Linked DNA regions of Kluyveromyces lactis. The protein of the gene in region 1 purifies or fractionates together with the protein of each later gene. This does not show direct contact. Links are inferred from orthologs where the notes say so. Each region holds a gene or a part of one and is shown on either strand. Other genes may lie near its edges.

Evidence for each region.
Region 2: the proteins of THO2 (region 1) and KLLA0_D05016g purify together in Saccharomyces cerevisiae (affinity purification with mass spectrometry; 4 studies listed by BioGRID). This does not show direct contact. The link is inferred for Kluyveromyces lactis from reciprocal best matches to the Saccharomyces cerevisiae genes THO2 and HRB1.
Region 3: the proteins of THO2 (region 1) and SRP1 purify together in Saccharomyces cerevisiae (affinity purification with mass spectrometry; 3 studies listed by BioGRID). This does not show direct contact. The link is inferred for Kluyveromyces lactis from reciprocal best matches to the Saccharomyces cerevisiae genes THO2 and SRP1.

Annotation. Positions count from the first base shown.
Region 1 is NC_006037.1:995,903-1,006,335, forward strand, and holds THO2 (Tho2p), read right to left. Parts: upstream 7,579-10,433; coding exon 2,986-7,578; downstream 1-2,985. Other genes in the region: KLLA0_A11550g (uncharacterized protein), read right to left, coding at 185-1,249; INN1 (Inn1p), read right to left, coding at 1,555-2,721; U2 snRNP complex subunit YSF3, read left to right, coding at 7,874-7,876, 7,953-8,213; KLLA0_A11616g (uncharacterized protein), read right to left, coding at 8,353-8,994; SRV2 (adenylate cyclase-binding protein), read left to right, coding at 9,368-10,433. UniProt on the Saccharomyces cerevisiae protein: Component the THO subcomplex of the TREX complex, which operates in coupling transcription elongation to mRNA export. The THO complex is recruited to transcribed genes and moves along the gene with the elongating polymerase during transcription.
Region 2 is NC_006040.1:426,950-438,679, reverse strand, and holds KLLA0_D05016g (uncharacterized protein), read left to right. Parts: upstream 1-5,326; coding exon 5,327-5,338; intron 5,339-5,768; coding exon 5,769-7,088; downstream 7,089-11,730. Other genes in the region: COX4 (cytochrome c oxidase subunit IV), read right to left, coding at 1-27; TPN1 (Tpn1p), read right to left, coding at 774-2,345; KLLA0_D05038g (Zn(II)2Cys6 transcription factor), read right to left, coding at 3,006-5,027; BUD3 (Bud3p), read right to left, coding at 7,199-11,485. UniProt on the Saccharomyces cerevisiae protein: Binds to intron-containing transcripts and is involved in quality control for the export of spliced mRNAs from the nucleus. Binds to pre-mRNAs until splicing is completed or until faulty mRNAs are degraded.
Region 3 is NC_006040.1:725,439-736,850, forward strand, and holds SRP1 (karyopherin alpha), read right to left. Parts: upstream 6,368-11,412; coding exon 4,751-6,367; downstream 1-4,750. Other genes in the region: COP9 signalosome catalytic subunit RRI1, read left to right, coding at 167-1,288; SWT21 (Swt21p), read right to left, coding at 1,272-2,507; translocation channel protein TIM22, read left to right, coding at 2,781-3,371; KAR1 (Kar1p), read right to left, coding at 3,498-4,262; KLLA0_D08624g (uncharacterized protein), read right to left, coding at 7,944-8,459; KLLA0_D08646g (uncharacterized protein), read right to left, coding at 9,477-10,337. UniProt on the Saccharomyces cerevisiae protein: Functions in nuclear protein import as an adapter protein for importin beta nuclear receptors. Binds specifically and directly to substrates containing either a simple or bipartite NLS motif. Promotes docking of import substrates to the nuclear envelope.

The DNA.
Region 1 (10,433 bases):
GAAAATCAGCCTTTATCGAAGGACCAATAAAACATAAATAAAGCATTAGATCTTTATTCGCATAAAATAGCATTTATTATAGACACTGTCTGTTAACATTTAATTTACTTCCATTATATATTGAGTTTTCCTTTAATATTTTGTATCATAACACATTAATAACATGGCATCAGCTGAAAAGCCTTCAATTTCTCATAACTTCACGAATGTATTTCTCTTTATTGAGTAAATAATACTCTTCCCATAGCATACCTTTCGGACATTTGGGGGGTACCCTGGGAGGAGGAAGAGTTGGTTGCTGAAGTACATAAAGTTGTCGTCTCGTTTCGTTTGTTTCTGGAACTGACCATCTTCCATTTCCCAAATATCCAGTTAGTTTTACATTAGCACTTGGGAAACTATGAATAAACATAAGCTTATCACCCAATTGCAAGCGAGCGTATTCATTGTTCAGTAGATCTTTTGGAGTTTCTTTGATAACTAAGGTATCGTAGTCATAGTTTCGAATCTTCTCTTTATTTTGCTCGATGAATGAATATACACCGCTTGTATCAGAAGACTCAGCTTCGTAGCTTTTCAATCCATGAGTGTAATTTCCTGCAACTACAGCTTTCTCCTTACCATCATATATAATGACATTGTCGTACACTATGTCATCTGAGTCTATGTTTAGATCATTACGTCGTTGATGCCTAGAATGTCTTCTTAATCGGGGAAAAAATTTAGGACTAGATTCTTGGTCCCTGGGTGTTGTAGCGGGTTTACTTTCGGGACTCTGAGGTAGTTGCTTGGGCAGTTTGGTCTTAATTACTGGAGAGCTCTTCTCGCTTGGACTTTGTGGGCTTTTCAAAGGTATAATAGGGCCACTTGATGGGAAAAATTCGATGTCTACTATGAATTGGACATCTTTTGCAAGTGAATTCAATTCAACAGACTTCCAAACGACATAATATTCTCTTAGTGCTTTAGGTCTCAATTTGTTGATATTAATAAAATCCTGGTCTAGGACGTCCCTCCGTCGACAACCAAGAAGATCATTCTTCAATCGTGGCCTTCGCCTAAATATAATGAACTCCATATTAGTATCCCAGTCTGCAGCTCTAACATTAAGTTCTAAGTTTCCCCTAATGGAATTGAATCGTATTGCATTTTGACCCAGTTTTAACATGAAGTATGTTCCAACTTCAAGCTGTTTTCCGACAGTTATTTTACTGGGCAGAATTATCAATTTACCATCTTGTCGTATCATTAATCCACTGCAGTGAGGTTCCTAATTCGAATAGTATCAAACATAATACAGCAGAGTCTTCTTTCGAGTATTCTTGTGCGATTACTTTAAAGTTCTTTCTTTATATATTCTTTTCTCATCTTAGGACCCTTTGGTTGAATAATCATGCAAAAAGGCTTAGCATTGACAGAATTCAAGGTGCAACGATTGAAACCATTTTAGATTCCAAGGCTTCGAGAAGATAAGAGGAACATCTAATATGAGTAGTGATAGAAAAACTTTTAACTGTCTATCCTATCAATGATTATGTAGTTCTAATAAGTCATTTATAATGGTGGTGGTCTCCTCCTTGTTGGAGAAACCGAGCCTGATCTTGAAGAAGGCGAAGAAAAAGAATTTGGCAAGTTCGGTAGCCTTGGAGTAGTAGGTTGTCTCACAGGAGATTTTAACGGATATTTTTGTCCGGCTGAATGTCTCACTGAAGATTGGCTGGATAGTCTTGAAGGCGTAGTCGGAAGAGGTGGTAATGGCGGTTCAACAAACGATTTTGTAGGAAGGTGATTCATAGGCGATGGCTCGTCAATGTTCGTTGGTATTCTTGAGCTTGAGCTACTCTCGAGACCGCCACCTACCACTTTCTGTAAGACTTCCAAATCCATCGCAGTGTTGGTGATACTCTCTGTAGATGGTACCGAGGAGCCGTTCTTGAAATAATTCAATTTTTCTTTGATCAGCTTTAACTTGTCCATCAGCCCATCAGTAGATTGGCTTTGTTGCGAATGATAGGTATTTGCTGTAGCATTAGACCCCATCGATGAATCAAAATCTATTCTTTCACTTGAAGCGTGTGATGATCTAGAAGTATCGAGGTTTATAGGTAGATCAGGAAGTGGAGATTTTATATGAGAGCCGTGAACGTATTGGCCTGGGGATGCGGAAGCAACGAACCGCTGCTCACTTGCCGATGTCTGCAGTTCATATTGTGCATGTAACTCCGGTGGATCTGACGGTAGTGGTGGTACTGACCTGGACTGTACACTGGAACTTATTTTTGGAACATTGTCGCGTCTGTCTTCGCTAATGTTATTTGGAACAAAAGTCAATTCAATATACACCTTACCAGCTTCCAAAGGACCCCTCTTCAGATGATACCACCTATCATGGCCTTCTTCAGGGTCACTTAGTAATGCAGGCAAAAGATCAACATCGCACTTCCCAATGAGCTTCGAACCATGTTTGTGATCATGGTCATCGTACAGTTCAACGCAGAGTAGAGGCTTGATATCGGGCGTTAGTTGAAAAACACAATGGTAATCAAATTTTGGAGTTTGGCCGCCTCTGTATATCACTGGAGATATCTCCGTAAGATGAGCTACTCTTAACTTGACGAAAGGATCTTGCTTGTCTAACTTTCTTAGATTTGGAAGGTCCTTCGCTTTACTCACATAAACATCTAATCGACCATTTGCTCCGGTTATCACGTTATTGCTCATTACACTTAATGCCTATATCGATTGAAAGGTGTTAACAGTGCTTATTGACCCATAAAGAAGCTCTATTCAAACTGTAAATATGTAGTTTAGCTTGATTCAATCTTATATTTACATAGGTCTATGTTTTTCAACATTTTTCATATTGACAGTTTTACGTGGTAAGAAGCATCAGAGTCTCAGGGAAAGACCGTACAAAATCGAAGATAATTGGTAGCATATATTATGCTATGCTATTTAACTAAGTGTCGAGTTAAGTATTTTTATTCACCTCGAATATCTCGATCCTCCAGATTGTCTTTTTGGACCAGATGGTAATGGCGATTGGTTATTTGTAGAACGATCGTTCAACTTAGGCTTTTTAACGTTTGAGAATCTGCTTGAACTTTGGTAAGATTCATCAGATTGCCTCTTTCGTGGTTCGGAGGGAGTATTAACGAATTTCTTCCCTTGATTGAATGGTCTGCTAGGAAGCTGTGATGTGTTTGAATTGCTGATACTTCTGTTGCTAGACGAATCTTTTCTTGGGCCAGATGGTAATGTGTTTTGGAATCTGCTAGATGAACCTGAGCTTGCAGGACCAGATGGTCTTGAGGAAGTATCCGGAGGCTTAGACGCGTTGGCTGGTGCTCTTGGCAGAGTTGTTGAGGCTATACCATGTTGATAACGAGAAGAAGCTGCCTTTCTTGGTTCACTAGGTATTGGACGGTTACTGGAAGTGTTGGAGTTCCATCTTTCACCACTGTACTTCGATGAAGGTTTAACAGGTACTACTTCATCTTCATACATACTTCCAGGTGTCTTGGTTTGAGGCAAAGGAGCAGATTTGCATCTTTGAATAAAATTTTCAAAGACAGATCTGTAGTGATCAGGTGGATTACTAGTGACTCGGTGGTAATAGTCCTCGAACAATATCTTCAATTTGTTTCTAAATCCAGAGATGTTGCCTGGAGCTTTTATCAATTTTCTAAAATCACTCTGAGTGTTAGAATCGTATATCAAGGGAATGGCTCTGGTGTACTCAGCATCCTTAATGTACTTCTCGATCTTATAAAAGCCATCCATGACTTGCGATGGAGATGGAGAATTGTTGGATATGGACGACATGGATGGTGCGGTAAGTGAAGATGTTGCAGCACCGTTCTCAGCATCCTGTTGTTTTGCCTTTTCCCTTTCCTTTTCTTTCAATTCTGCTTCTTCCTTTCTACTTTGCTCTGCTTTTGCAGCTTCCTTCATATCTTGGTACCTTTTGATGAGATTCATCTCGTCTTGCAGTTGTTGCTGTTCTTCCGCTGAAACTTCACGGAAATCCGATGTCTTAGAGGCGTTCTTAAGTCTAGCCTTTAAGTGTCCTTTCAAAGCGTTTGATGGCAAAATGATATCCTCCCTTTGCTCGTGTTCAATTAAATGATCCAAAGTGTCTAAAACCAATTCCAAATGTTCATCAACGACAGGGAAGATTTCGCTTATAGCATTTAAAAACTGGATTGTGTTTCTAATGGACATGTAATTGGAATCCTCTAAGGTAAATGATAATTGTTCTGTTAATTGATAGTAGAGGTCATATATTACAGGTTTAATTTTGTCATCATCCAATAATGTAGTATGTCTCCAATTTTCGATTTTGGTAATAATGTCCTTCAAAAACGTAGCGATGTTGCTCGATTCATTTACCGTAGAAGAAAATAGTAAGGTTCCTAAAATGTTTGAGGATGTGAATTGCCCTAAGATATCAATTACTTCTTCGATATTAAATGTTTCAGTAATGAAAGTTGCGCAAAATATGGCATCAAATGGTGAAAAAATGAGTCTAGGAACAACGCAGTGTTGCAAAAATGAGGTAATACGCTCACGGGAGAATTCGGGGAACCATGTCTCCTTGTTCATTTTAATCATGTTCTTTGTCTTTTCAAAAACGCTTGCATGCTGAGATAGATCAAATTTGACTGTCTGTATTGTGCTTAATAAACTATGCCTCTCTTTCAAAACTTTAGCAGCCTTTCTCTTGTCTTCGTAAATGATTTTCTGCTTCGTGTACAAATCTTCTTCTAATCTAATATCATATAAGGATAACCGCCAGAAATCAATGAATAGACGTTTATCAATATTTTCAAAATTGATGCCTTTGAAATCAGTCTCATATAGAATTTCGTTGATTTCATCAGCATCATTTTCAGATCTCGCCAGCTTTGTATCGAAATAATGCCTCCAGATATCAAACGCCCACTCAACAGGAAATTGATATTTCTCAATTAAAACGTTGAAAGGTAGAATATTGGCTTTGAATTGTTCTTCAGTCAAAATGTGCTTTAACATTTCAATAAATGACCAAAGTAATGCATTGGATTCATCGCATTTCGCTGATAAGATTTTATAATGAACGTTATTATCGGTTTGAATCTTAAGATTCAAATTTGTGAGCATGATAATCATTTCTGACACTGCATTAAGCTCTAACAAGTAATTGACAATAGTTTTTGAAGGTTGATAATACTTATCTCTGAAATCCAAGATAAGATTTCTACCGATTTGTTTTAAAAAGGATCCTGAGCTTATCATTAGCAAAGTGTTCCAATTTACATCATACAACGTTTGTATTCCTGCAACTTGGGAGATTAACTCCTTCAAAATAGCCAGGGTAAGCGATGGATCCTTGTAAAGATTTTTGACCAAAAACACGAATATGTTGGACATACTCATTTTAGAACAGCCTTTAGCAAGACCCGCAATGAACAAAGATAATCTGCTAATCCACATTTTGGGAGTAATACCATCATCTTGTAAAGTTGGCCTTTCCGATGTGAGCTTAATTAATAACGTATACTGTAAAACATCGTAAGCGAATTCTGAGAAAAATTCGGCACTTATGACGATTAGTTCAGAGACTTTATCATAATTTTCTATTTGTTTTAGGATAGAGTCTAGAGTTGAAAGAGGATTGCAGGACACGAAGTTAGCAACATCCCTGCACTTAAATGCAATGTTGTCAATACTCAAAGATTTTAAAAGTGACCTTATCCGCTTTTGGTACTTATTAAATTGTAACCTGACATGTATGTTGTCTTCAGCAATCTTTGTACTTAATTCATGGTACATGAAGTATCTTCTTTCGAATGGGAAGTGCTTCATAACCGAATAAATTGCATTTGCAACAAACTGCTCATCTTCGACTAGTCCTAATACTGGTAGCATAAACTTTCTGCAGTAATTAATCCATAAATCCATAACCGTTTCATCTTCTAGGTTATCTAGAATATTTTTTTCAGCTATGGCGCATATATGTTCAACAAGTTTAGCATTAAGAATAATACGTGGACCGATGCTTTCAAATATTAGATGTGAATAATGAACGAGATTCTCTATCGTTTCAATTGGAGTCAAATTCTGTCGCCAGTCTTTATTGTAAAATACAAATTCTGTCCCTTGAATGTATTTGTAGTCTTTCCCCAAAGACCTATATTGCCTGATCAACCGATCTTGTTTAGTAGGAATTCCATTGTGAGATAACTTCAAAAGAGGTCGACAATGTTCTGAAATAGCTGAAGGGCTCAACTTTACAGTCAAGGGTTCGATCATGTTGTCAAACACCTCGAGAAGAGATTTCACGAGACTATCGTTCACGGCAAAGAACCGAGGATATTTGAATAGAGCATACAATCCTGGAACAAAGTGCCCATTGACAAGTAACCTCTCTACTAGTTTCCATTTTGGTGATTTTTCAACAGTTTCTCGAAGTAGTGCTTCTTTTTCCTTCTCCGATATCCCAGTATCTGCCGCTGTATTGGTTTTATCACCTTCCGTATTTTTCGAAATGGTATTGTCTTCGTCAGTAAGGACGGAGGCCATAGCTAACGGATTAAGAGATCCCTCCAAGGATTCCTTTTCCAATGTCGTCAGCTTCCTCTCTACAAACTCATCAATGTCAGTATCGTACGGGGTCAGGCAATCGAATATAGCAGCAAAAGAGACAAACCCGCCTTTAATTAGATGAACCACTAAATCGATGTAATTTGCATCTGGTTTACCATTATTAAGGTAATTTACTATCAACCTGGTAGCTATCGGATTACCACCTTGGTTCAATTGTTCATACCGTGAGCAGTTGGCCAAATTCGAAGATGGCCAGTAGTCTGTAGATTGCAAAAGCTCAAGAATAAACTCAAAATGGTGTACGACATGATATGAAGACACTTGTAATAGTATATCCATGCACCTGATTGGGTCTAGCTTATATTTCCCCATAATATATTTCAACTGTTTACTGTAATATTGAACAGATTGGAATTTGTCAACATCTTCAAAAGCGATATTCAACAACGTTATCAGTTGACTGAAACCAGTAGAGCATTCTAGGAATAAATTTGGTTTTTGCAAAAGGAAGAACTCGGGAACGATGCTCTTTTTGAATGCGGACCAAAAATCTTTGGACCATCTTTCTGTACCCTTTGAAAGAATTTGGTCGTTCAAATAAATACACACCTCTAACTGAAGATCCTTGGCACACCCAACTAAATCATTAAACCCATTGTTCGCCTCCCAAGGGTATGAATTCGCTAACGAAACAAATAGCTCGAAGTTATATCTATCCTCGTTGCATAACGCACTAACTATTTTGCTGATAGCATCCAAATTTAAAAACTCCGATTCATCAGATTTCCCATTGATTAAGGAAAAAGCTTCCAGAAACAAATCATACACATAATCAGATTTCTGAGAACTGGCATCTAAGGAAAGGTACTGTGATATGATTGTTTCTACACCACGACTTGGTTCATCGAAAAACGTCTTGTCAAAATAAGTAACTTGTTCATCATTTGGAAGATTGGAAGCCAAATTATTCAAACAGTCGTACAATGCCATGATGAAAACAATTTACCGTGTGCCTAATTCAATTGGCAAATGCAAATACCCCTATTGCTCTTCCGTCACCAGGACGCTACAATCATGAGGTTGATGTTGCGCAATGTATGTGTTATATCTTTCACAGATTTTTAACATATTCAAATTCGATATTTGAAAAATGTCGGCATGGTGAGAATGGTAACTTGAATAGAGTTGATATCTCAAACAGGGATGAAAAGAGTCACAGCAGTCAGTATACTAGGTATTTGACTAAGTTAATGGTATCAGTGAGAACAATAGGAAGTTATAAACAATGGTATGTACTTTTTTTTTCCAATTTATGTGTAATATCCTATGCTGACCAATGATACTAACTACTGACTTAACTGCAGAGTAACAAAGTGAAAGAGGAACTGATATATGAAGATATGCGGAAGAAACATCCAGGGGTAGGGAGTGCTAGAACAACAAAGGAAGAGTGGTCTAATACGATAAGCAAGGACACATATGCCAGCTTGGCTATTCATCAGAACCTTTTAGAGTATTACACATTGGCGTCAGGATTCCCTTCCAAACGGGATGCCCAACTAACACTGTTACGAAAACTTGCAAACCCGCCAAAACCAATCAAAAGGGATATTGGAAACGATTAATGATTATTATAGATATTACACAAGTGTATTTGCAATATTTTTGTTGTTGGTACATGCGGTATTTAACGTGTATTTTATGTTAGGTGTATCGAAGTTAAAAAGCTATCGAAAACGCTTTCAGAGATTGTAATATATTTAATTAAAGTTCTGGCTGCGAAGAAATCTCTGTTAAGATTCTTCTGCCATCAATTTCGGCCTGGTTGAACCTCTTGTGTAACGTTTCTAAATCCATGTTGGAAGCAAACACCTCAGCGTGGGCTGAACCAGTAGGAAGATCGATAACTTTCAAGTCTGTAACTTTGCAGTTGCCCATCTGTTGTAACACTCTTTGTAAATTAGAAGGGTTCGTTCCTATCGGCAAATTTCGTATCTTTAAACATTTCAAACTCTCTTTCAATGAAATAACCAACTTCTTATTATTACTGTTATCACTATTGTTTCGTTGCTTAGATCTAGCTCTATTCTTCAAATTATGAAGCAAATTGACACGTTTGTTCGATTGAATTTGTTGCTTATTCTTATCTGAGCTGGCTTTCATTTTATTGCCCTGCAAATCAGCAGCTAACACAAGTTTACCACCAAGAAATGTCAATCCAGTCTTTGCTTTGGCCTTTTCTGCCTTTGCTTTCTCTGCCCTTTCCAAAGTCTGCTTCTTCTGTAATACGGGATTTTGGCCACTAGAATTTCCAACACGCCCAAACAACGAGTTAGAACCTTTCCCTACACCTTTTCCTCCCCCATTCCTGGACTTCGAATTACCATTCCGATGCTGCGATGCCATATTTACAATAAAGGACACACAACAGAATTCTCCTTTGCTATCTTAACCAGAAAAAGTAAGACCGTACTAATTTCCTGAATCGTAAGAAAAATGAAACAGAGTACCACAGTCGTATAGTAACCTGATGTTTCCTTTCGTAACATAAGTTAACATCTTAACCTACCATTCCAGAGTTTTTCGTCAACTTTGTTCTCAATGGTCACTTTTACATGTTCATCAGAGACACTTTTAAGGAATCAAGAAAAAACAAAAAAATAATAGAAGAGAAACATTTTAATAGGGGCATTTGCTCTGATTTTGGTGTATGAAAGGCTTCCAATACGGACGGTGAACTGTAATCAGGACGTTTGAGTGGATTGAAGCAAGTTGGAAAATGACTGAAACAAATTTCTCAGTGCAGGGGTACAATTTGGTAAAACTTTTGAAGAGATTGGAGGATGCTACTGCCAGATTGGAGGATGTTACGATTTATCAAGAAGGCTATGTTCAATCCAAGTTTGGCTTAGAGAAAGACGGTAAGGTTGATGGGTTCGCTGATTCTGTTACTGCTTCTTCTGCTGAAAGAATTGCTAGTGCAGGTTCAGGCGCATCAGCAGCTTCTAAAGAAGCCGCAACACCGGTAGCAACAGCACCAAACAGTACTGGTGAATCGAAGGAGGAAGAACCGAAATCAATTCAAGAATTTAAGCATTTCATTGAACAGAACGTTGATCCTTTGGTTAAATTATCCGCTGAAATTGATCCTACTGTTGAAAAAGCTGTGGTGTTTTTAGCCAACGCTTTCAAAGCTCAGTTGGTGTTTTTAAAGGCAGCAGTACAATCAAAGAAGCCAGACTTTTCGTCATCTGCATTCGTGAAAGGTTTGACCCCAATTAACGAGAACATCTTCTCTATTGGTGAGTTGAAAGAGGAGAACCGTAACAGTAAGTATTTCGCTCATTTGAATGCTATCTCTGAGGGATCACCACTGTTCTCATGGATTGCTGGATCTACACCTGTGTCTACTATCACTGATTTCAAGGACGCTGCCCAGTTTTGGACAAATAGAATCTTGAAAGAATTCAGAAGCACTGATCCTAAATCCGTTGAATGGGTCCAACAATTTTTGTCCGTTTTCGATAGCTTGAAGCTGTACGTTAAGGAATACCATACCACAGGTGTGACTTGGAACGACACTACTGGTGAGGATTTCGAAACCGTATACGAAAGAGTTTCCAACGAGGGATCCGGAGCTTCTTCTTCTGGTGCTACTTCCAGTGAGCCGCATAGTTCAGGCGCCGGAGCTCCTCCACCTCCACCTCCACCTCCTCCGGCTTCCGTATTCGAAGTCAATGAACAATCAAAAGAACAAGAATCTGGTGGAATCGGTGCTGTGTTTGCTGAGTTAAACCAAGGTGAAAACATCACTAAATCCTTAAAGAAAGTAGAAAAGTCTCAGC
Region 2 (11,730 bases), on another chromosome or scaffold:
CGATAGGGATTGACGTAGAGACAACATTATTTCTTCTTTGTGATTGGATTGATAGGTGATAACTTAGATACTCCGATGTGTGAATCTAAAACGATGGAACAAAGGTATATTTGAATTGTAATGAACTAATCAATTAGCAATATATGACAAAAAGAACCACTTGGATACTGTAAGCTAGCTGAGACAGATAAGGTGATCAGTTGAATATATTCGCAAATGAAAGTAATCGGCGAAAGAAAACCCTCTGAAACAAACGTATGACTCTCTTGAACAAACTTGATAAAACGTCTTTAGCTACTTTCTAAAACTCTGAAATCACTGTTGAAAATATTATTCATATATATACATTCGGTTCCAATATCCTGCGAAAATCAAGAAATGAAAATTATCGCTTATAACAAAAAACGTACAAAAATCACATCATGTTTCCCAGTATGATTGGAGCAGGGAGAAGAAGGAAAGATACAAAAAAGGTGTCTACTCGTACATAGTGATGTACACATTTTTTAGCTGGAGTAGTCTTTCGTATTTGTTTCTATTTTGTTTCCGGCGAGAGTAGGATCTAGTGTGGGTGTTGTCAATTGAGTGAGAATTCTGCGATATGGTTGGCTAGAGGTCATGTGATTTATATAGGCAATGCCATGCCATTAATATTAAAGAGATTATTCATTTGATCTGGCGCGCGTCGCGTGACAGGTTATATACATATATGTGTGTACATATATGTGTGTTTCTATTATATGTGTATAATGTCAGATAATGGGGAAAATGGTTCACCTGCCAAATTTCTTCAGTTCGCAGTACCTTAGTGGTGGATATGATACTCCTGCGAAACCCATACCGAGCCACATACCTAAATCTCCGCCATACTCGCCAATCTTTGCGGCAAGTGGCCCCACGTAATACGTTTGACACATTCCAAGTACCACACCAGCAACACCGATGCAGAACGCAGCGGATGCAGCCAATCCTCTTGTGATGACTTCAGAGTTGTCCCATTCATCCCAGTTGTACCTGTGGATGTGCCTTGGTAATTTCCTTAGTTTATGATGTGGTTTCACTTCTATGTCATTGGGGAATTCCAATTTATATAGATGGTGGAACCAGTTTCTAAAGATGACGTTCTCTTCCACGAGTAAGATGAAGTACATGCTAATCCAGTAACCAATCATAGGTAGGAAATTTCCCAAGATGGTGGAAAAACTGTTTCTACCTACTAGCGCACATACGAGGTAAAAGATGGTACATCCGATAGCCCAGATCCAACGAGGCACCTTGGCTAACATCACACTTGATAATTGGATGGAGAATGCTGCAGAGTATGTGTTAACAATATTATTCGAGATTAAAGATAAGATCAATACAACGACCAAAAATTTCCCAAATCCATTCCAACGAGAGAAACCAGCATTCATGAGACCACCCATCCCATATTCATCATATGCAGCTTGCCAAGGTTCGTAGGACAGTGAACATGATGCCAGTAGAAGACCCAATACACCAACGAAAGTGGTTGGTACCGCAGTTCCGAAAAATGTCAATAAGAAGACTTGAATCTGAGGAGTGTCCTCGGGGAACAAGATATAGTAATCTGCTGTGATGGAACCCCAAGTTGATGTGATACTGTAACACAAAGAAAAGAAGGATAACCAGCAACCTTTCACAGTCAGTGAATCAATGTCACTATTACTGAATTCGTACAAGTACTTGAACTTGTCACTTGCTGAGATGTACAACAACAGGAAACTAGTTAGCACGGGCACTGCAAACAGAGTCTCTACTTTTAAAACCTGCTTGATACCAAAAATGGAAACAAGCAACGATACCACAGTAACAATGATAATACCAACCCAAAGTGGAACCTTACCGTCACTAACACTAGCTAGCATTTGTCCTCCAACAACACAGTTCACAATGGACCAGCCCATAACACCGACAATCGCAGCCAAGGCAATAAATTTCACAAACCACCAACCGAACAGATAACGAGCAGTAACTATTTGTCTACAACCAGATTGTGGACCCATTACAGAACAGTAAGCTGCAACCCCACAGCCGATCCACATCGATATCAATCCACTCACAAGACATTGGTTAAACGTAAGTTGGAATACCATTGGACCAAGGAAGTATGACGACATAGAAGAAAGCCCACCAGCTGCACTCAACCACAACCCAGCAACATGCCAAAACTGTTTAGCGGTGCCACGCTCATACGGCTGGATACGCTGGATACCACGCGCTTCAACACCTAACGCATCTAACTTATCAGAAAACTGACGAATGCTCGATGCAGAACGTACAAAGATTGACCTTTCAGTCACCTCTACCTCCGACTTTTTCATAGTTCTTGATTCGTAGCTGTACCTGTTATTCGAACCACAACTATTGTTGAGGTTTATGACAGCATTAAGCAACTCAGTAAACAGCCTTACCAAACAACAGGCTTATGCTTTGATCTAGCAATGACATATCTTGGTTCATCTTTTATATATCATATCTCACTACATGCATTTTGAACGCTTTTCATACTGAAAGTCCAAGTCATCGCGAATGTGATGATAATGAAAAGAAAGAAAAAAAACTAGTGATGGAACGGCATACACACTGAACGAGGATCCAGGAGATAGTGCAACGGTAAGTCCACTTTTTAATCGTCCTTTGTTCTTGAACAGGAAGGTTACAGAACAAAGAGGTCCTCTGGTGCCGCACCAATTGTTCTGCTGTCTGTGAAACTTATGTAAATAGTAGTTAACTCTCACCATCAACGTGAGATTCGGTATGTGTGTAAAAGGTACATATGTCGATGCGTGTGGCGTTCACAAAATATATGCACGATTTATCAATATGAGTCATGTGACCGTTATGATAAATGAATAAAGGATGTACAATATTGACAGTAGTCTGCCGTTCTGTACTAGTTCGTACAGTTAATTCGTACAGATTTCTGGTGGGTCTAAACATGTGCTATATCAGAGTGCTATGGGATGTATAAAAAATAGTGTTCAAGAAAATGGAAGCGCATCAGCAAGGTCCACCTCATTCTGTGAGAGCATGGTCGTTGGTCTTGGATACCATTTTCTAATCAGATATGCGATCGATATTGCTGCTGATTCAGCACCCAAGTTTTCTGCCATAGTCATGAAGTATGCTAGGATTTTGCATCTTGTCAGCCGTAGTGTATTTGAATCCAATAAAATTAGCTTCTCAGCACATAAAATCACGCTACTTTGGAACATCATCAATCTGAAGTCCTTCTGCATTGGTACGATGATGCACCTGGAGGTCAATTCAAATTTTAGTTTCTCTCTTAGGCTTGGGTAGTTGTATATTTCACCAGCTTCTAACTGTTCTGTCAGCATGTTTATTTCCATTATTGTCAAATTACAGTCTGAAAACATCCACTCTAACATTTTCCAAACTCGTTTGCAAGAGTTTAGCACTAGCGAACAGTCTTCAGGTAGTTTAGCGCTTCTTAGTAGATAGGTGACAAATAGTAGTTCCACATGGGTCTGGTGGATGGAATCGTATATAGAATAGACAGAAAGCTTGTGGAACACAACGGATGCCACATCTGAGGTGAATGACGGTATCAGGGAGTAATTGTCGGTATCAACTTTCCCGTACGTGTTTGGATAGAATTGGTATTCTCGAGATGCTTGTAACAATGAGCAGACGTTAAGGAAACTATCGTTGTTATCGTCTTGGCCAGTATCTGCATTAAGACATTTCATCACTTCCTTGATAAGCAATATTCCCTCTTTCGAATACCCAAGAAATGTGTTATAATTATTCCCTGATATGAATCCCATCTGCTTCATGAGATTGTCGCTCATGGATGAATCACTGGATCCAATATCTAACATCTCCTCCATTTCTGCTTCATTGAAAAAATGGTTACCTTTCGCTACACAAGCAACTATAGCAATGGCACAAAACCAGTTACGTGCTAGTGTTACAGTCCTCCTATGCAAAAGTGTGCTCCCAGTGCTTCCAGTCACCATTTCTCTGTTGTCGTTGTATTTCATAAGTAGATCCTTAGCTCCTCGTAGATGGAATTTCCATTCTTGAGTTCCAAACGTTGAACTATCCAATGTCAACAATAGCACACATAAATTCAAAGAGTCTATCTGTGAAAACCCCAATGATTCTTGGGATAGAGATTCGAATTCTTGGTACAATTGCTGTAGTGCTTTTCTCAAGAAATGTTTCCTAATTATATTATCATGCTCTTTCCCGTAAACATTGTAGACATATTTAGCACTGATTGACACCATCGAACTCTGTAAGTAAGACTTTTCTCGGGCGTGTTTTTTATTTGCTCTTATTACGTGCTGGAATAAGATATGGTTACAAATGTTAGAATCCGGTGATTGTGCTAGCGGCATCAACCAGTATGATACATTGTCATAAAATATCTTCAAATATGATAATTCCGATTTTGATACCTCTCCTAACATTCCTTCGATCTCTTCCCATCTGTTGAACACGGGCCCGCCTATGTCATCATTGATAGAACTGATACTTTTCTGTTGGCCTTGGTTTGCGGTCACGGCGTCTGTTTCGGGCAGCTTGGAGAATAAATCATTAGCAAAGAGAAGCGCATCGTTCAATAGCGCATTCAAATCATCTTCGTCATTACCAATCGCATTGGTTGCAGCATGCTCAAAATCCACGTCACGTTCATTGTTCGAGAGTTTTCTAGTATCAGATGATGAATGATGTTCCATGTTTTTCCTATGCAGATCGCCATCTTCCTTATTCTTTCTCTTTTTATCCGAGACTGAGGTCACTTTAGAGTTTACTCGAGATTTATTGGGTCCCCCAGAAACAACAAATTGAAACTCTTTGGTCTTATAAACACATTCAAGAGACAAATGCGTGCACTGCCAACACATAGGCTTCGTCTCATCACATTTAACCTTCTTTCTCTTACATTCAAGGCATCCATTTTTGGAATACTTCCTCTTCTTCTTGGCAGGTTCGGTCACATTAGAGACTGCAGTGTCCGGAGTAGTGTCTGCCATCTCAATAATATATTATATTATACCAACACCAACCACCTGGACGTAATATGCCCTTTTACAGGTCTTATACTCTCCCTTCTTGCCACGCTTTAACTTGCATTGAGTCACATGACATGCGGCATTCTTTATATCATGCACGTCTCTTTTTATTCATTAACACATCTAAACCTCGAAAAAAATTCAGAAGGAATTAAATCTGTGAAAACATTCAGCACTGAAAAGAACTTCGTTATGACATTGCTAAACGTCGTGAAATAATTTCAAGACTGCTGCTAGACGGTTGTGGCTGGTAGTTAAATATGAGTTCATACGTATGTTGTATTTTTGAAAAGGAATTGGTGTGAAATGGCTGTTTAGACTGCTACACAATGATCATACCATATCTATAGTATTATCACCGACAGTTGTTGCTCAATGAATTATCAAAGAACAGATATCCAAGCTGGTAAGGTTTATTGATATTATGCATCTATTGACACTGGGTATGCGATGGTTTAATTCTGCTTGTTTTTTGGCTAAGATTGTGGCAGGTGTCGCTATTATAAGTGCTTTTAGTTTCCAGTATACCTAAGGAAAACTACTGCGCAGGAAACATACTAGTCATTGGCTGTAATACATCTTTGCTGCAAATCTAAAGATTAGTTCATTTCTAGGCTTCTGCTTCAAGCGTTAACATGTGATACTAACTGGTTACTATATGAGTTGCCATTAATTACTTTTTTCTGGCCTTTATTAATATAGTCAAGAGAGAGATCGAGATCTAGATCACCTGTAGCAAGATCAGGAAACGAAGATCCACGCAGAGGCGGTTATCCTGATCGTAGCTATAGGGATGATAGAAGAGGAAACTACAGCGGAGATAACAGAAGATCTGAAGGATATAACAGGGACACTTATTCAAGAGATAGGGACGGAGACAGATATTCGGGTGGAAGATCTGTAAATCGTGGATACCGTTCTGTTGGAAGGGACAATGGGTACGAGAATCAAGGTTATAACAGTGGTAGATATGGCCGTGGTAGATCCTCGAGATATGATCGAGGAGGAGCTGCTACTGCTGCTGCTGCCGCCGCTAAAGGAGACTATGGACCGAAATTAGCGAGAGAGCTCGATTCTCCATATGATGAAAAAGTAAACAGAAACTATGCCAACAGTATCTTCATCGGTAACCTTACATATAATACTACACCAGAGGATTTGAAGGAATATTTTGGTAAGATCGGTGAAGTTCGCAGAGCAGATATTATTACTTCTAGAGGTCATCACAGGGGCATGGGTACTGTGGAATTCAATAACAGTACTGACGTCGATACGGCCATTAGAGATTGTGATGGTGCCTTTTTGAACGGACGTGCCATTTTTGTCAGGCAAGATAATCCACCTCCTGCTGAAATCTCGAGAACTGGAAATAATAACGGCCCACCGCCTCCTCCAAAACGTGCTCACGATGAAGGTTTCGAAGTTTTCGTGGCACAGCTACCATTCTCTGTTAATTGGCAAGAATTAAAAGATATGTTCAAACCGTGCGGTGATGTTTTGCATGCTGATGTTGTCACTGATCGTGACGGTAAGTCAAGAGGTTTTGGTACGGTCTATATGGCTACCAAAGAACAACAAAATGATGCTATTCGTCATTGGACTGGTACAGAGTATAAGGGCCGTGTATTAGATGTTAAAGAAGGTAAAGGAACTTCTACACGTACTGCAGCCACTGGTGCCGATACTTACATCCCTCGTCAACCACGTAATGAACCACCAGCAACTCTTAAACCAAAACCACTAGATATCGATCCTCTGGCTATAACTACGGGTGGTGATAGAAACTCTGTAATCTTCTGCGAAAATATGCCATCTTCTACCACTGAATCTGATTTATATGACCTATTTGGCAGTGTTGCACCGGTTATAATAACGAAATTACTGTTGAATCCTGAAGGTCATTTCACAAGGAACTCATATTGTCAATTTGAAACACCAGAGGACGCAGATATATGTATCAGCAAATTGGACAAATACTCCTATGGAGATCATGAGTTAAAGGTGACTTATGCCAGATTCTAATTCTAACTTCTAAATAATCATGTTTTATATTTTGATATCTAGCGGGCATTACTTGAGGTAATATCACTAATTAATAACCTATTCAAACTTCTACGTTTTCTCCATAGGGACTAAGCGCTGAACTGCAATCGCGTTGGTTTTGTTTCATCATCTTCTGCTAAAACGCCACCTAAGTAGTCATAGGAAGAATCTCTTAGGAAAGAGGGTTCATCATGTTTGCCGTTGTTTTCGTCGGTCAAAGCACCGAAAGCAGCAGCCTTAGGAGCAGCTTTTTTTGAAGCTGGTGGTTGTAAACTCTTGAAAAATGTGTCTGATTTATTACTGATGTCAAACATATCCAATTTGCTTGGAGAAACCCAGATTGGCTCATCGTCGTTTTCAACTGCTGTTGGGTGTACTTTATCGTGAGCTGAAAAAAAGGATTCGTTGGATTTGGTGAAATTGTCGAATTTGTAGAATACAGGCTCTGCTACCTTCCGAGGTAGAACATTTTTATTTTCAAAAACATCGCCAGTATCCATAGTAGACTCTCTAGTGGAAGTGTTATTGGTATTGTCAAATGACATGTGGAAGAAACTGAACTCTAAATCATCTAATAATGGTGCAGGTTCATCTTGGCTATTGGTCGTTTCCGTCGGTAATTTTATGGTTGATTCTGGTGGAACTAAGTGATCCACATTTGTTTCTTCATGGCCGTGTTCACTAGGTTTGGTTTCTTCTGTTTGTGGAGTATAAAAAGGACTTTCCGGTAAATCTTCCTGCGAGTGAAATGTTAGCTCAACAAGTCTTGCATTTTTGCTCATATCTTCCGTGTAGAAACTTGGAGGATCATCGTTCAGGTTCGAGGATCTTGAAGTTCTTTTCATAGTTAACTCATTTCGAGTTATAATTTTGACTGGAGAAGTTTTTATTACATTAAAATTACCAGATAATTTTGAGCTTTTAGTGAGAGTTACTCCAGTATCTAGTGTTCTTTGATCAGATTTAACATCATCCTTGTGGAAAGACAGTTCATCTTGTTCAGGGACTTCTACTGCTGCTGATAGTCGCTTATTGGATCTTAAGTTCTTATCAGTCGGTATATGAATGGCATATTTTTCATTTAATGAAACTTCACTGGATAGTCTTCTCCAATTCACTACTTCATCAGACTCGTCTAAAACCATGCGCATTTCCTTAAATAATTCTGCAAAAGAAGGAGATTTAGTAAAGTTGATTTTTGGTATTTCATATTTGTTGATCTTAGGGAAAATTGGAGATTTCGTATTGTCCTCATCTTTACTGGGATAAGTGGAAGATGCTGGTTGGCCTTCGAGTTGCTCCTTGTCAACTTGGGTTATGGAAGTTGGAGTGGATTCAATAGTAATTACATTACGAGTATTTTGTTCCAAGCTTGTGAAGCTGTTGTTAACATCAGAGCATGGGGTGATTCCGCCTGATAATTCCACACTAGTGTCCTTGACACCATCGTCCTTGGTGCGGTCGTCCTGCTGAACTATGGTATCTGCTCTGTTCTTATCATGTACACTAGACGTAGGGGCAACTATGTCCCCGAATAGATCATCGTTGAAGACCTGGCTTTGCCTTGCTTGTTGATGCTGCGTATAAATAGATTTCGGCTTAGCGTTATTCTTAAGAGCAGAAACATTATTCGCATCCTCACAGCTAGCTTCAGAAGAGTCGACAGTTTTGAAGGAGTTTGAACTGGAAAGGATATAAGGATTGTCCGAGTGGGGACGAGGGTCTGGAGTGATGTTTTTGTTGTGGATAACTGACCCAACACGTTCTCCTTTTTTCTTTGGCACGCTAATAGGCGGTAGATCTTTCGAAATATTTCTCGCCAGTCCAGCATCCTTTTTTGTTACAACCCGTTTCTGGCTTTTCGAAGGTGATTTCCTCTTTCTGAAAACAGAAAACAATTTCGATATGAAACCTCCACGTTTTGACTGTTTGCTTTCTGTTTGAGATTTGTCCTTGTTGCTTTTGAGAAACTTTTTGTTTGCCTTCGATGATTTAGCGTTATTAGAAAGTAAATTGTCCTTAAAGTCGCTCACGCTACTTCTAAATGTGGTAATCGTTCCATAAGATTTGTCCTTTTTATGAACAGGTTGAAAACCGTTCGTCTTGTCGTTAACAACAGGCGTAGTAACTATCGAAGGTGCGTCGTGGATATCGACCAAGTTAAAGTCGTGTCCTATTAATTTCGTTAGTTGTTCGTTGATTCTTAGAAGCTCGTTGTAAAATGGTGCCTTGAAGGAATATGTATATTTGCCATAGTTACTCATCAACTCTTTGGTTAAAACAGTGACAAGTTCATCAAGGGTTACTTCGACATTATCAGACGTCCCTTCCGATGTTAATTTTGTCAGCGAAATTTTACCGGTATCTAGGGTTGCAAAAAAAGCTAGGTCAAGTTCGTGTTCCTCTAATTGCTTTATATTTGGCGGACAATTTAAAAACAAAGTGAATCGTGATTTGATCGTTTCATTTTGATAGGCTTCCAGCTCATGCGCCGTGAAATAGATGTTAAAATTGCAACGGTTTGATTTGAATAAATGGAAGGCAGTCACTTTTTCCAGAATGGTTGCTTTTGTACACAATTCTTCAATGTGAGATGCCTTCATTTTAGAAGAGGCGAGCTTGTATACAAAACTTTCCGGTTGTTTGGGATCCAAGAAAGTAAGGATGATAGAGTTATCCTTTGTAGTGGACGTTAGAATCCTATCAATATAGCAATGCGACACTACTTGTAATTTAGGAATCTTTGATGGCAGTGCAACTTCATTGATTAGGGAGTTCATGAGAACATCAGATATAAGTGGTTTATTATCGGTCTCCGAGTAGTACTTTTCAGCATCGACAATGCTCAATATCACGATATAGTCGCTGAAAATAACCAATAAATCTCTTCTTGAATTATTATCTGCATCAATCACGTCAAAAACACCAACAATTCGCCTCTTCAACCACTTATATTGCAGTTCAAGTGGCCAGCCTTTAGCTAATTCGGTTAAAATCTTTCCGGAGGGAGTAAACACTCTTGTGTTATAGGCACTCATGGTGGAAGAATCTAGTTTACCAAAAGAATCCACAATTTCCATAATATTTGTGTAATTTTTTTGAGCGTCATTTTCAATTTCTGGCGTTGACCACGTCTTGCATTGCCACAATCTCTCCAGTATCAGTTTTATCTTCATTAGCTTTTCTTGAGGACCTCTTATAATGGTTTCGATTTTCATTTCTGTATATGTATTACTATTTGGTATCACTTGCTTGAACTTCTGTAGAAAAAGCTTTATATCCTTTGAAAAGTTCTTAGTTGCTGCCTCGTGTCTCGAATAAGCTTTATAGAAATATGGAACTGTGACGCTGCATGCCTTCAAAACTTCTATGGAACCATATGGGGTAGCAGACTTCAGGGCATCTAAAAATATGCAGTTTATTCTAGTTACTTCATCGATCGTTGGTGGAAATAGTCGGTTCAACTTAGCTGCGGAAAGAGTGGGAATGTCTTCATTGAGGACATCAATTCTTAACGGTATTAAAAACTTCTGTAAGAACTCTATAATTGACAAAGTGAAGTTTGTTTGTAATGTTAAAAGTTCTTGACATACGGAATTGATTAGTGGTTCGTCCTTTTCAGTCTGCTCTTCTGGTGAAAAGTCGGGCGTTGTGTACACGCGTTCTGTTTGCTCCGGCGAGTATTCTGTTAACGGGTCAAACAATTGCTCTAATTGTTCACCTAGGTAAAATACCAACTCATTATTGGCATCAATAGATTCAGGCTTGTTTTCATACACTACGTCAACTAGCAGTGATTGTACTGATCTAGGACAGATCAACCCATGCAACATGATGCTTTTCCCCAAATTTCCAGGGGTACAATATTCCACCATTTTACATCCATTGGCCAAATCGCCTGAATGGGTCTGATCATACTCGAATTTCAATGGAACTCCATCAGTGATCTTTTGCACTATTGACTCATCTGTAGTAGCATATTTCTCTAATAAAGAGCAAGCAAGTACTTTCCTTACATTTGAGTCCTTATATCTATTACTGAGGTTCAAGACAGCAGGTCCATAGACGGAATTGTCATGGAAGTTAACGTTTGGGAAATGCGTGGTACCAACTTTATCAATGAAGAATGCCCCAAACTTGTTCGTGTCGGGATCCAAGTAAACACAGGCCAAGAAACTGCCCCAAATTAAAGGGTCTTTCCCTTGGAAAAACACACTTTTTTCGAATATTGTTAACCACTCATCGTCCGGTCTTTTCAGCAAATCACGATCCTTAACGCTATCACATAGCAGATTTAAAGGTAATTCGATTCGCCAATCAGAATCGCTATTCTGAGGTTGCGAAGAGATGTCGCTAGACTGATCAAAGAAATCCATTCTCTAAGTCACTACCAACCAAATTCTGCAGTTTTAGCAGCCTGTAAACCCCAGTGAACACCTTTGTTTACATTGTTGTTATCATTTGTTATTAAGCTAGAATAATTTTCATTATTTTTTCTGTTGATCTCATTTCTATAAACAAACCTAGATCTGAATAGGTAAATAGTTAAAGAAATCGATGCGAAGAGTAATGATTAACGCGTATGGTGAGTGGTAGAAGTCTGTAACATGCCATTATTCTT
Region 3 (11,412 bases), on another chromosome or scaffold:
CGAACATTTTGTGAAATTTAAGATTCTATTTTACTTCGAATTGTAAAGGCAAGTAGAAAGTAAACTTCTCGTGGAAGAATTAACAACAGTGGTTTACTAAGTATCATTTTTCATCAAGAGTGTCTGGCCGCTTGCCTGCTACACCTTAGAAGACTGGGAATGAGGAATGAGCTCCATAAAATTTCATGAGAAATCCTTGAAAGAAGTCACTCGATGGATTCAAGCTAACGAAGACATCAATACAGAAACTTCACTTTCCAGTTCTAGTGATTCAAGCACGACGATTCCTGTAATAGACCACCTACCAGCAAGAATCCCGTATGCTACCGATTTGAAACGAAATCCGTGTCACTTTCAGAAATGCCTTATATCAAGACTTGCTACTACAAAGATGTTATCTCATGCGGTTGATGGTGGAGATATTGAAGTTATGGGGATGCTAGTAGGATACACTAGCAATGATATGATAGTTGTCAAGGATTGCTATTCTTTACCTGTTCAAGGAACTGAAACAAGGGTTAATGCGCATATGGAATCATATGAATATATGGTCCAGTATTTAGACGCATTTGTCACAAAAGAAGATAAGATAGTGGGCTGGTACCACTCTCATCCAGGATATGGTTGTTGGTTGAGCAATATCGACATCCAAACACAGTCTTTAAATCAAAATTACCAAGACCCGTACCTTGCCATAGTGGTCGATCCCAAGAAGTCTTTATCCGGAAACACTTTGGACATTGGAGCATTTAGGACACTGCCGTCTAAAGATAACAACGAGCATGTTGATTATTATCCACTTAACATTCAATTATATCAAAACTCACTTGATGTTAACATTTCAAAATTAAAATTGAAATTCAAGGTAGATCCAGCAATTCAGAACAATCCTAACGAACCGGAACTAATGAAAGAGCTACATGAATGTGTAGAGAATTGGTTTCATGCCAAAAAAGTGATGAAGTCAACTGTAGGATTCAATGCTATCGGATCCACCGTGGTTAATGAAACTGAGATAGGAAATGAAGATTTTACACACGAGAGGTCCAATTCAATCTCCTCGACCTCTTCCTTAACCACAAGGCATACTACTGATGTAGAAATGGATGATCAAGAGAGTGCTCAAAGTAGTCTTGATATACCGGCCAATGTGATACCTGGCATGCAGTTTCAGGAGGCAGAGATAAAGCATGAATACGAACTGAAGAAGAAGAAACTACTCTTATTGAAGGTTAAGCAATATCAAAAGTTAAGGACCTACAGACAACTATTTAATGCATCCGAATAAGCTTCACAGATGTTTTTAATGTCATACCCTCATCATCTGCAAATTTATCAGTCGAGGTTGAAATAGCGAGGGTGTTTGGATCAACAGGATTCGTTGCAATGCAATTCACCCTTACATTCTCATCTGAAATAAGAATGTTATTCGTTGGCTTTATTCCAGTACCAGCGGTTTGAAGTGGGTCCAACCCACCAAATTCAATGCAATCTTTGTCCCAGCATGCAACCTGACCATCGTACGATCCAATTAACAAACCTTTGGCACTGTTCAAGGATGCCTTGAATTTCTGCTTACCAATTTTGAATGGAAGTTCCAGTATATTAATTCTAGATTTTAACATTCGTGTATCAATAACATCGATTTCTCTTGCATTACGTTTAATACAGTACAAATAATGTCCGTTATCCGACTTAATGACTTGGTAGATTCCATTTGACCACGAGTCCAATGAATCACGCTCACTTATTAGTTCAGATTTAGTACTTCTAGTATCAATTCGTAGCACTTCTGTTTTATAAGTACCAGCAAACCTGACATTGTCATGTACCTCGTTATATTCATCAAAGCATGATACGATAGCCTTCTGTGATGACTTCCCGCATGATTGTTTTGTCCACTGATGTTGCCATATCGGTTTATGTCGGTTGTAATCATACATAGTTATCCTGTTTCTAACAGATCCAGTCATGAAATGCATAGTGTCTTGAAGTATTGTCATTGAATAAGCCGTTTCAAAGGCTTCATTTTCTTCGTTAACAGTAGAGTAATGGTATAAACTTGTTTCATTGATGCTGTCCGATCGTAATGAGTACAATTTTATGGGCAGATCTCTTGAAGAACAAAGTATAGTTTGATATGCTGAATCCTCTTCATACAGTGAGTATCTAGGGTGGACGACAGAGGAAATAATGGAACCATTCACAAACCATCGTGTGAAAGGAACCCAATGATCTACAAGTGGATCTTCTGGTATAAGATACTGTCGTATTCCAAAATCATCAAAAACGCCGCAAATAGAAGTACCATCATGAGACCAAGTCAGCTGAGAACAAATCACAGGACAATACCGCTCAACGCTATGGAAATACGAACGATGCAGCTTTGGAAATTCGTAATTCTTTGCATATGCTGAAAATTTTCGAGATAATTCTTCTTCGAGAGACCATAATGAATTACAATTTGTCCCATAGTAGCAGTCTAATGTGCTGGCTATCGTTTGCATTATCAAAAGGTCTCATATTCCGCATACAGTTGCTTAAAATGCTGCCTTCTGTGCATGCGATGAGGCATTCTGTCAATATTGACATATTGACAGAGTTGAAGCTTATTCTTATCGAAAGAAAAAAAGCTTTGGAATAGCTAATATCAAAAGCTCATCGAAAATAATATTGAAATAAATATATACATCGTTGAACAGAGTAGTAAAAGGACACCGTGAAGTATTGGATAGTTGTGGAAGATTAGCTACTGTTGAAGTAAGAAACGTTAAAATAAAATGGTGTATCGTGGGTTTGGTTTAGACCAAGTTTCTCCACCAGAGAATAAACCATTTGATCAACTTTCGCCTGAAGAACAAGGTGAAAAAGGTGCCCAAATGATGGTGGAGTTTATGACTTCTTGTCCTGGAAAAGCTGCCATCAGTGGTGTTACTGGTTTTGCATTAGGTGGTGTTTTCGGTTTATTTATGGCATCGATGGCGTATGACACACCTCTACATACGCCAGCTCCAACCAATGCTCCAGGTTTACCAAATAAAGTGAAAGAGCTTGCAGATCTACCGTTGAAACAGCAGATAAAGATCCAGTTTAGTGATATGGGAAAAAGATCCTACTCCAGTGCAAAGAATTTCGGTTACATCGGTATGATTTATTCAGGTGTCGAATGTGTGGTGGAATCGTTAAGGGCAAAGAACGATATATATAACGGTGTAGCTGCAGGTTGTTTGACAGGCGGTGGCTTGGCATACAAGAGTGGACCTCAGGCAGCATTAGTGGGTTGTGCGGGTTTTGCTGCCTTCTCTACGGCCATTGATTTATACATGAGAAACGAGAATAAGAAACCACCCAAGGATGACTTCGATGAATGATCAGTTTATATTTTTGAAACTCTAAGCATTAAGCGTCCGTTCTTTGTACATTAGATAGACTCCAGGTCATGATATCTATGAACTTTACATGTAAATACGTGCATTTATATATCAATTCAGTCTTTATCATAGGTAATGATACACCCATACATTGCAAAGTACGAGAATAATGATACAACTTAACCATATCACTGGTTCATAGGTCATTGATTTGCCAATTAAAGTTTCTTTGTCCTGCAAAATATCGATCAACCGATCTAGCTTGGCACTAGTGTCCTTCAATTGGGATTCCAATGTAGTTATTTCACTAGATTGAAACACTTTGCGGGAAATTTTTCTTTGACTTTCAAAAGACGGTGCTTCTAATACCCTCTTGGCCTTATTCACAGGCTCTGCTTTAGTCTGTCGTACCTTTGCGTTCGATATTATAGTATTCCATCTGGATTCGAGGTCACGACCAACTTCCATTTTTTGCTGAGGGTCAAGATAAGGTAAGGGCAATGGATCACCAAGCTTCTCTTTCAGTTGTCTTCGTTTTGGAAATGTATTTGACTTCTTTGGGGTATTATGCTGGGACAGTTGTACAATGCTTTGTTTAGATCGCAGCTTCGGCATAAACTGTGGGTTAACTTCATCATCAAACGTTTCGCTGGAGCTTACAGACCCCGGAGTAGTAACATTACTCGATGATTTGTACTTCACAGTATCTTCCTCCTCAGAAATATTTAAAGGCCCGCATATATCTTGCAAAACACTTGTGCTATTGTTCGAAACAACTGATACCTCATCTTTAATCTTCGCGTCAAACATTTTGTTGATCCGTTTTATTCGTGAGTCACTAATCTTTCTCTGGGGAGACCGCAGATTGAGAAATTCAGGCATTGAACTCATATTATCGCATCAGCGTAATATTCAACTCCGAGCTTTGAAGTAGCACATATGCATTGGATATTTCCTTTTCGTGTGATTATAGGCGATGTTTCACCGAGGAAATTTCGATTGTGTATTTTTAAAGGTTTACAAAAATCCAAACCTTTAAATGTTGATATTATGCATCGGAACATGTAGAGGTAACACCGAAAGTGATATGCACCTAACTGGTCACCTAATTTCTATGACAGAGAGAAGGTCCATGATACTGTTTTTTGAGCACAGTTTTTACTTTTATCGTGGTTCAAAACTGCAAATAAGACTTGGGCCCTTTAATGACATAGAATTCTGTTTCACAATGAAGGGAGAAGTGTAGATTAATAATACTATAGATAGATTACATTAATGCAAAAATTATATGATATTTAACAGGCGCGTAGTATTCATTTATTGTCTAGAATAAAAAAAGCAAATGTAATTACATGACACACGCACAGCTAGAGTTGGTTTTAATTGAAGTTGAATTGCTGGTTGACATTTGATCCAAATCCAAAAGTGTTACCAGCTGTTTGTGGAGCCATAGATTCATCAACAACATCATCTTCATCACTAAAGTACTTTTCAATGATCTTGAAGGCCTTTTCGTAAATTTTTTCGTTAGCATTAGACTGTAAATTGAAGATCTTTTCCATACCACCAGCTTTCTCAATGAAATCAGCATTTTCGTTCACGGCAATACCTCTGACTTCTCTATCCATTTCACCCATCTTCAAAATATTTTCTATAGCATCTAGTGTAACCTCTATGATTCTGTTATCAGCAATCTCTAATAGATCGCACAATGGTTTTATACAGCCTTGACTGACCAAATATCTGATAATTTCTGGCTTGTGTAACCCACCAGAAGAGGCATTCGAGATGGCCCAACATGCTTCTTTCTTTGTCTTATATTCTGCAGTTTCCAACAATCTGATTAATGGTGGAATTAAGTTAGCATCAATAACGGCTTGAATCTGTTCCGTATTACCAGCGGTTATATTAGAGATGGTCCAACAAGCTTCCTTTCTTATGGATTCCTTTGGAGAAGCCAATAGATTTCTTAGAGCTGCCAAGGCTCCACAGTTGATAACGATCTGAGTTTGCAAATCGTTACCTGTGACAATGTTACCTACAGCTCTTAGAGCAGGGGTTTGCACTAACGTAGATTGGTGGGATAGTAGTTCTACAAGTCTCTTTGGGATTCTAGCATCTACTACCGCTTGGATCGAATTAACCGGGCCATCGGAAAGATATGAGATAGCCCAACAAGCATCGACTAACGTTTCAGTATCCATGGAGTAGATTAGCTTAGACAAAGTTGGCAAAGCTTGAGACACGATAGACCAATCTGGTTGAGGTTTCTTACCACGACACAAGTTAGATAAAGTCCACGTAGCTGTTCTAATCAAGGAAGTCTTGTTCAATTCGAACAAATATAGAATTGGTTGCATGGCACCACATTGCAAAACGTAGTCTCTATAATCGGTGGAATCACCAGCAACGTTACCCAAGGCCCAAATAGCTTGTTCCTTCACTTCAACCGAGTTTGAATATAATAATTGAATGAATAATGGCACAGCACCCGCATCTACGACGACTCTAGTCTGCTCAGAAGTACCAGAAGCAATGTTCGTCAACGCCCAAGCAGCTTCCAATTGCAACATCTCAGGTTGATTTTCGCTCATGAATTGGACCAAGGTTGGCACTACGCCAGTACTGATAACCAAATCGATAGGTGGTCTGTGTTCTCTAGACAAGACTTGTCTAAACTTGACCGTCACAGCCAACTGTTGTTGTAGATCGTTAGAATGGATTTGTTCCAACATAGCAGGCAACTCCTGTTGTAATTGTCTGTAGAAAGAGGAGTCCTGATCGTCATCATCATCATTTTCATCATCAGAATCGTTACCAACAGGCGCATTGAAATTTCTTCTTTTTGCTAATGCCTCATCCCTCTTGACTTTTCTCAACTCGACTTGTTGAACGTCTCTACGACGACGTAATTCATCAGCAGAGAATCTACCCTTATTCTTGAAGTTTGTCCTCCTGTATTCAGGAACAAACTTGCTGGAAGTGTCACCGTCCATCTTTCACTTATAAAATAATAAAACGGATACCTGCTATCTGATCCTTCGTGCTAGCCGCGAACCAAAGAAAATTCAGAGAAGTAAAAAAAAAGATTGTAACTAATTCCTTTCTACCAAACTCACAATCACAATTGATCGTCCCGTCTTTTCAAGTAGATATTTTTGCAAATGGGTTCCAAATCAAACAAAAATAAAGAGAAGTTGGATTTAAAGAAGAAATTATCAGTCGCAAAATCAATCTCTAACAATCACAAATAGCGTTTCCCCTTGAGTAAATGAAAATCTGATTCGTTTCTTTGTATTGCTTGACAGAAAAATATATCGGAAGCCAAGAGCACCGTATTGTTTTATATATGTAACAGTGTAATTGAAGTAGAATGCAAACCAATCTTTTATTCAATCCCATATAATATCCATCTTGATTAAAATCCTTCTTTTTTGGCCATCCAAAAAATTCGAATTTTTTTTTTTGGTTGAAATTTCTTTGCCAGATAGTCGTGATGTACGGAGTTGTCACGTGACATACCAACCTCGTGTAAGAAAACGACAAAGGTTCTAACATCAAAAGACAGGAAAAGATGGGCAGGGTCAATTTGACACACTTTTCAACACATATTAAGAGATGTATATACGTATACATAATATATTTGGGATGGTTGGTAATATAAATATATCACCGGGGATTCCTTGTTTTCGTTCCTCATTCATTCTCATGATACACACACACTAAAGTATACATGAGGGTAAGTTGATGAGAGTAGAAGCGAAAGAATTGTGATACAATCAACTAGCATAAGTTCCTTTTTCTATTTCCCCCTTTAGTAAGCATCAAAAATACATTCACTGGGTATTGGAGATGGATGGAATGATTTGAGGGAGAGAAAAAGGAATGGACAAAACCGCTCAGTTGATGTTTTATTGACATGTTCTCTCTAGCAGCATTTTGAAAATGTCCCTCACAAATAAATGAGTGCTCGAATGAACAGGCGGGAAAGATTCAGAATTCAACGCCAAGAAAGAAACACGGTTCACCTACTGCACTCCATTCCTTTTTGTTATATATATACTCCAAATATCGACGATTATGAATTTTCACAACACACACACTGCTGTACGGTTCATAAACGTCAATTTTTTTTCATTCATGAAATGGAATAATTTTCAAATTAGGACACAGATAGATGAGATTGAGTAGTATATACTGTGTTAATTTAACACAATACACTTACACTCAAAACAAAAAATTTGTTAGCACGCGACACGACACACGACACACATTCACGACACGCAGCAACGACATAGGTAAGGTAGTAGAATAATATAGGTAATTCATGGAATCAAACAACCAAGTAAAAAAAAAACGAAATAAAAAAGAACAATCAAATCATTTCCTATGCATCCAGTGTTGGATGTAAGCGAACAGGGTTGACGAAGATTGATAAAAGTGAGGTGAAAGAAAATCCTTAAGTTTTTGTGATATAGTTTGATAGCAACGACAGTTAACGAAAATAAAAGAAGAGGGCCAACTTTTCGAGTATCTTTTTTCTTGGCATTTCGTTAACAATTGGAAGTTGACTTATAACAAGTAGGCAGCGATACCAGCAACCAAGAAAGAGCTGGAAAATTTAACCAAGTCAGCATCGTTAGCAGTTTCAGCTTCCCTGTTGTTAGTCTTATCGAATCTACCGTATCTGTGAGTACCGGTAGATGTAGGGGAAGAAGAAGGAGCTGTCTTGTTGAATCTACCGTATCTATGAGTACCAGTAGATGTAGGGGAAGAAGATGGAGCTGTCTTGTTGAATCTACCGTATCTGTGAGTACCAGTAGATGTAGGGGAAGAAGATGGAGCTGTCTTGTTGAATCTACCGTATCTATGAGTACCAGTAGATGTAGGGGAAGAAGAAGGAGCTGTCTTGTTGAATCTACCGTATCTGTGGGTACCAGTAGACGTAGGGGTAGAAGAAGGAGAAGTCTTGTCGAATCTACCGTATCTATGAGTGTTGGTGGTTGTAGTGGTAGTTTCACTGTTCTCTTGCTGAGCAGCAACAACAGAAACGGCAAAGAAAGCAGCAACAACGGAAGTTAACTTCATACTGAGTGTGAGACAGAACAGAAGCGAATTTTTGCGAATTAAAAAAACCAAAAAGGGCTTTTCTAGGTCGTTGGCTGGTGTGTTAGTGTGCGCGGTGTGAGGATATCGAAAAGAACTATTTAAAAGAATTAGATAAGTTATATCAAAGTATCAAAAACAACAACTAAATTGACTTAAAAGAAGTGATTAAAAGGAAAGAATAATGAATATGGTATATATTGAAAATCCATCAATAAAAAAGAAGTTTCTTGTTTCTCTATATATAATAACAAAGGGGAGACAGAGCCGGATTTCTTAGAGGAGAAACATGGAATTCGTTTTCCCTCTCAAAAGTTACGTAGTGACGGCAGGTGGTGAGCTAGAAATTATCTTAGAAAGAAAATTCAAAAAGACCGCAAACTTGCCTAGACAGTGGGGTAGCTCTCGAGCTATTTTTTTTTTCTTTGTTGCGGATTACCCGAAATGGTATACGTAGGTCACGTGCACATGACCATGTCTCTTGGCCAGCATATATTTTCAAATCAGGGTAAACCCCATGAGGGTTTGCAGTCGGTGATAATATGTCCATTGGGATAAAAGCATATTAAATTATATTTCCGATTGGTCATGTGAACAGGGGGAATGGTGTTGCCCTTTCGTGGGTTTCACCGTACAACCAGATAAATGTTGAAGGGTAGGTAGAGTAATATGTTGAGATACTTTTGTTTTTGTTTAGTATATAGTACGAGTCGTATTGGTGGTATCAATATTAATATGGGGAAGTAGTAGTATTAGGAATTACTATAGGTATTATTATTAGTATTATTATTAATATTATAGATTAGAGAGTTAAGGCCATCAAAGAATTGACATGAGCTTCGAGACAAAAAAAAAAAGGGAAGAAGAGGATAAAAAAATTAATAATTAGATGATCGTCATGAATGTTTTGATATTACGTTAGAAATGTGTGAGAGCAGATGCATCTCGTCTCGGTACAACCGGGTAATTGGAATTCGGTTCCAGGACATTCATGTCTTTTTAAACTGTAGTTGGAGGAACTTGATTTTGAGGCTCATAGGTGCTGTTTGTAGCAGTTTCTGGGAGACCTTCTTCATGTTTAAAGTCCTCTTGGGCAACAAAGTTGTTGAAGATGAAGGTACCAGATAAGAAAGTCCATGGGTTCAATTCCACAGCGTTCGTCTTCAACCAGCCGGAGGAACCGTAATGAGACAAGACTGGACGCAAGACGTTAAAAATGTAGATAATGAAAGAGACCACGAAGAATAACCAGGCAAACGCGGCAAAAGCAGCAGCAGCTTTACCAGCTTTACAACTAACGGACCAATCGTCCGATGAACTACTAGTCCAGAAAAATGAGCCATAATTGCAGGAATGGCTGAAATTATCAGCAAGCACGACAAATGCACAGAACCACATCAACACAAAGAAAGCTTCCAAGCCGAAAAACACAGAAACTGGCACGGCAGATCTCGCAGAAGCTGATGCAAATCCCCAGAAAATGCCCCCAGCAAGGAAATAGACAAAAGTCATAACGGATACCGCAAGACCAAAGTTCGTCTTGCTGTCACCCCAACTAGCCTTAGCAATACTAGTAGCAGTCAAGGAGAGAACTAAACTGGTAAACATGGATTGCAACCCACGGACAATATTGTGGAACAAGCTGCTCGTGTATGGGAAATAAGACTTTGAGGATGGAGTCTCCTGAATCACTGGCTCGGACATTGGTTGTACATCAACTGGCTGACTTGCTGGCACGGTGGTATCTGGAACAGTAGCTGGTGCAGGCGCAGCAACGACAGGCTCGTCGGTTAATGGAACAGCGACAACAGGCTCAGTATCTGGCTGCGTCTCAGGAGCGGCTCTTTCAATGTTTGACATTTCTGTTTTTAACTTTTAGATAAGGTTGACTTGATATTTGGATCATTATTTATGTTGAAAACCTTTAACTTTTCGTTTCCCAAGCGAATTATAGCTTATGAATTGAAATGAAACAATTTTAATGATCTGATTTTTAGTAAAAGGACTTAGAACTCTTACTTAAAAACAAAATAATCCTAAAATATTCTAAGGGTCCAGTATACAGCAAAACAAAACCCCGAAAAAAAAAAAGAGTCCAAGAAAAAAAATATCTGATCAAATAATGTGAAAATAAGGTAAGGGAAAAGGGATGTTTGAAGGGCTTTATATCCCTATTTCCATAAGACTAGAAAAACCCTTGTTTATATAACAATGAAGGGGATTACTCTCACTCTCATTTAAATATAAATTGACGATAGAACAGGACCATCAAAATTAATGTTTATTAATTATCCGTAGAAGGGTCCCGCGGAAATACCACCCCTCCCCTCCCTACGACTTCTCTTTGGCAGGCGCTCATAAAGTGATGTTTAAAGGTTTGAGCTGTTCTCATATTAATATAGTGATCCCTTTTTTCCTCATATCAGTCACACACGTCAGTAGCCAACAGCCTGCTCTGAATTCCTAAATTTCATAAATAGCATCACATCAGTTGCTACTTTTCCAGCAAGTTCCATTCCATGGTGGATCTGTAGGAATTATAAGCGCTAGTATCTAAATGAGAGTGGTGGACAGAGATGTTTATTCACTCTATTCCGTTAATTTGCAGCAGTACCGCGATGAGAATAAAGCGCCAAGGAAAAACGAGACAATGACTTCTATTCCATTCTAGACCCATCAACCACCAACAGAAAAAAAGCTGAGAAGTCAACACCTCTGTCGGCCGAAATATTTCAATATTGTAGGCTGTTTGTTGAATTGAGGGGTGCCTATGCAATATGCTGTTACGTAATTGTTTTCTGGTGAAAAATACCTTGTTGAAGACGCCCTTCTCGATGGGTTCTCAGATGAATATATGTGTCTTTCAGCTTCTTTTATTCCTTTTTCCCTTCCCAATTTTTTCCCCGTTCTAATTCCCCTGCCAGCGCAGACAAAG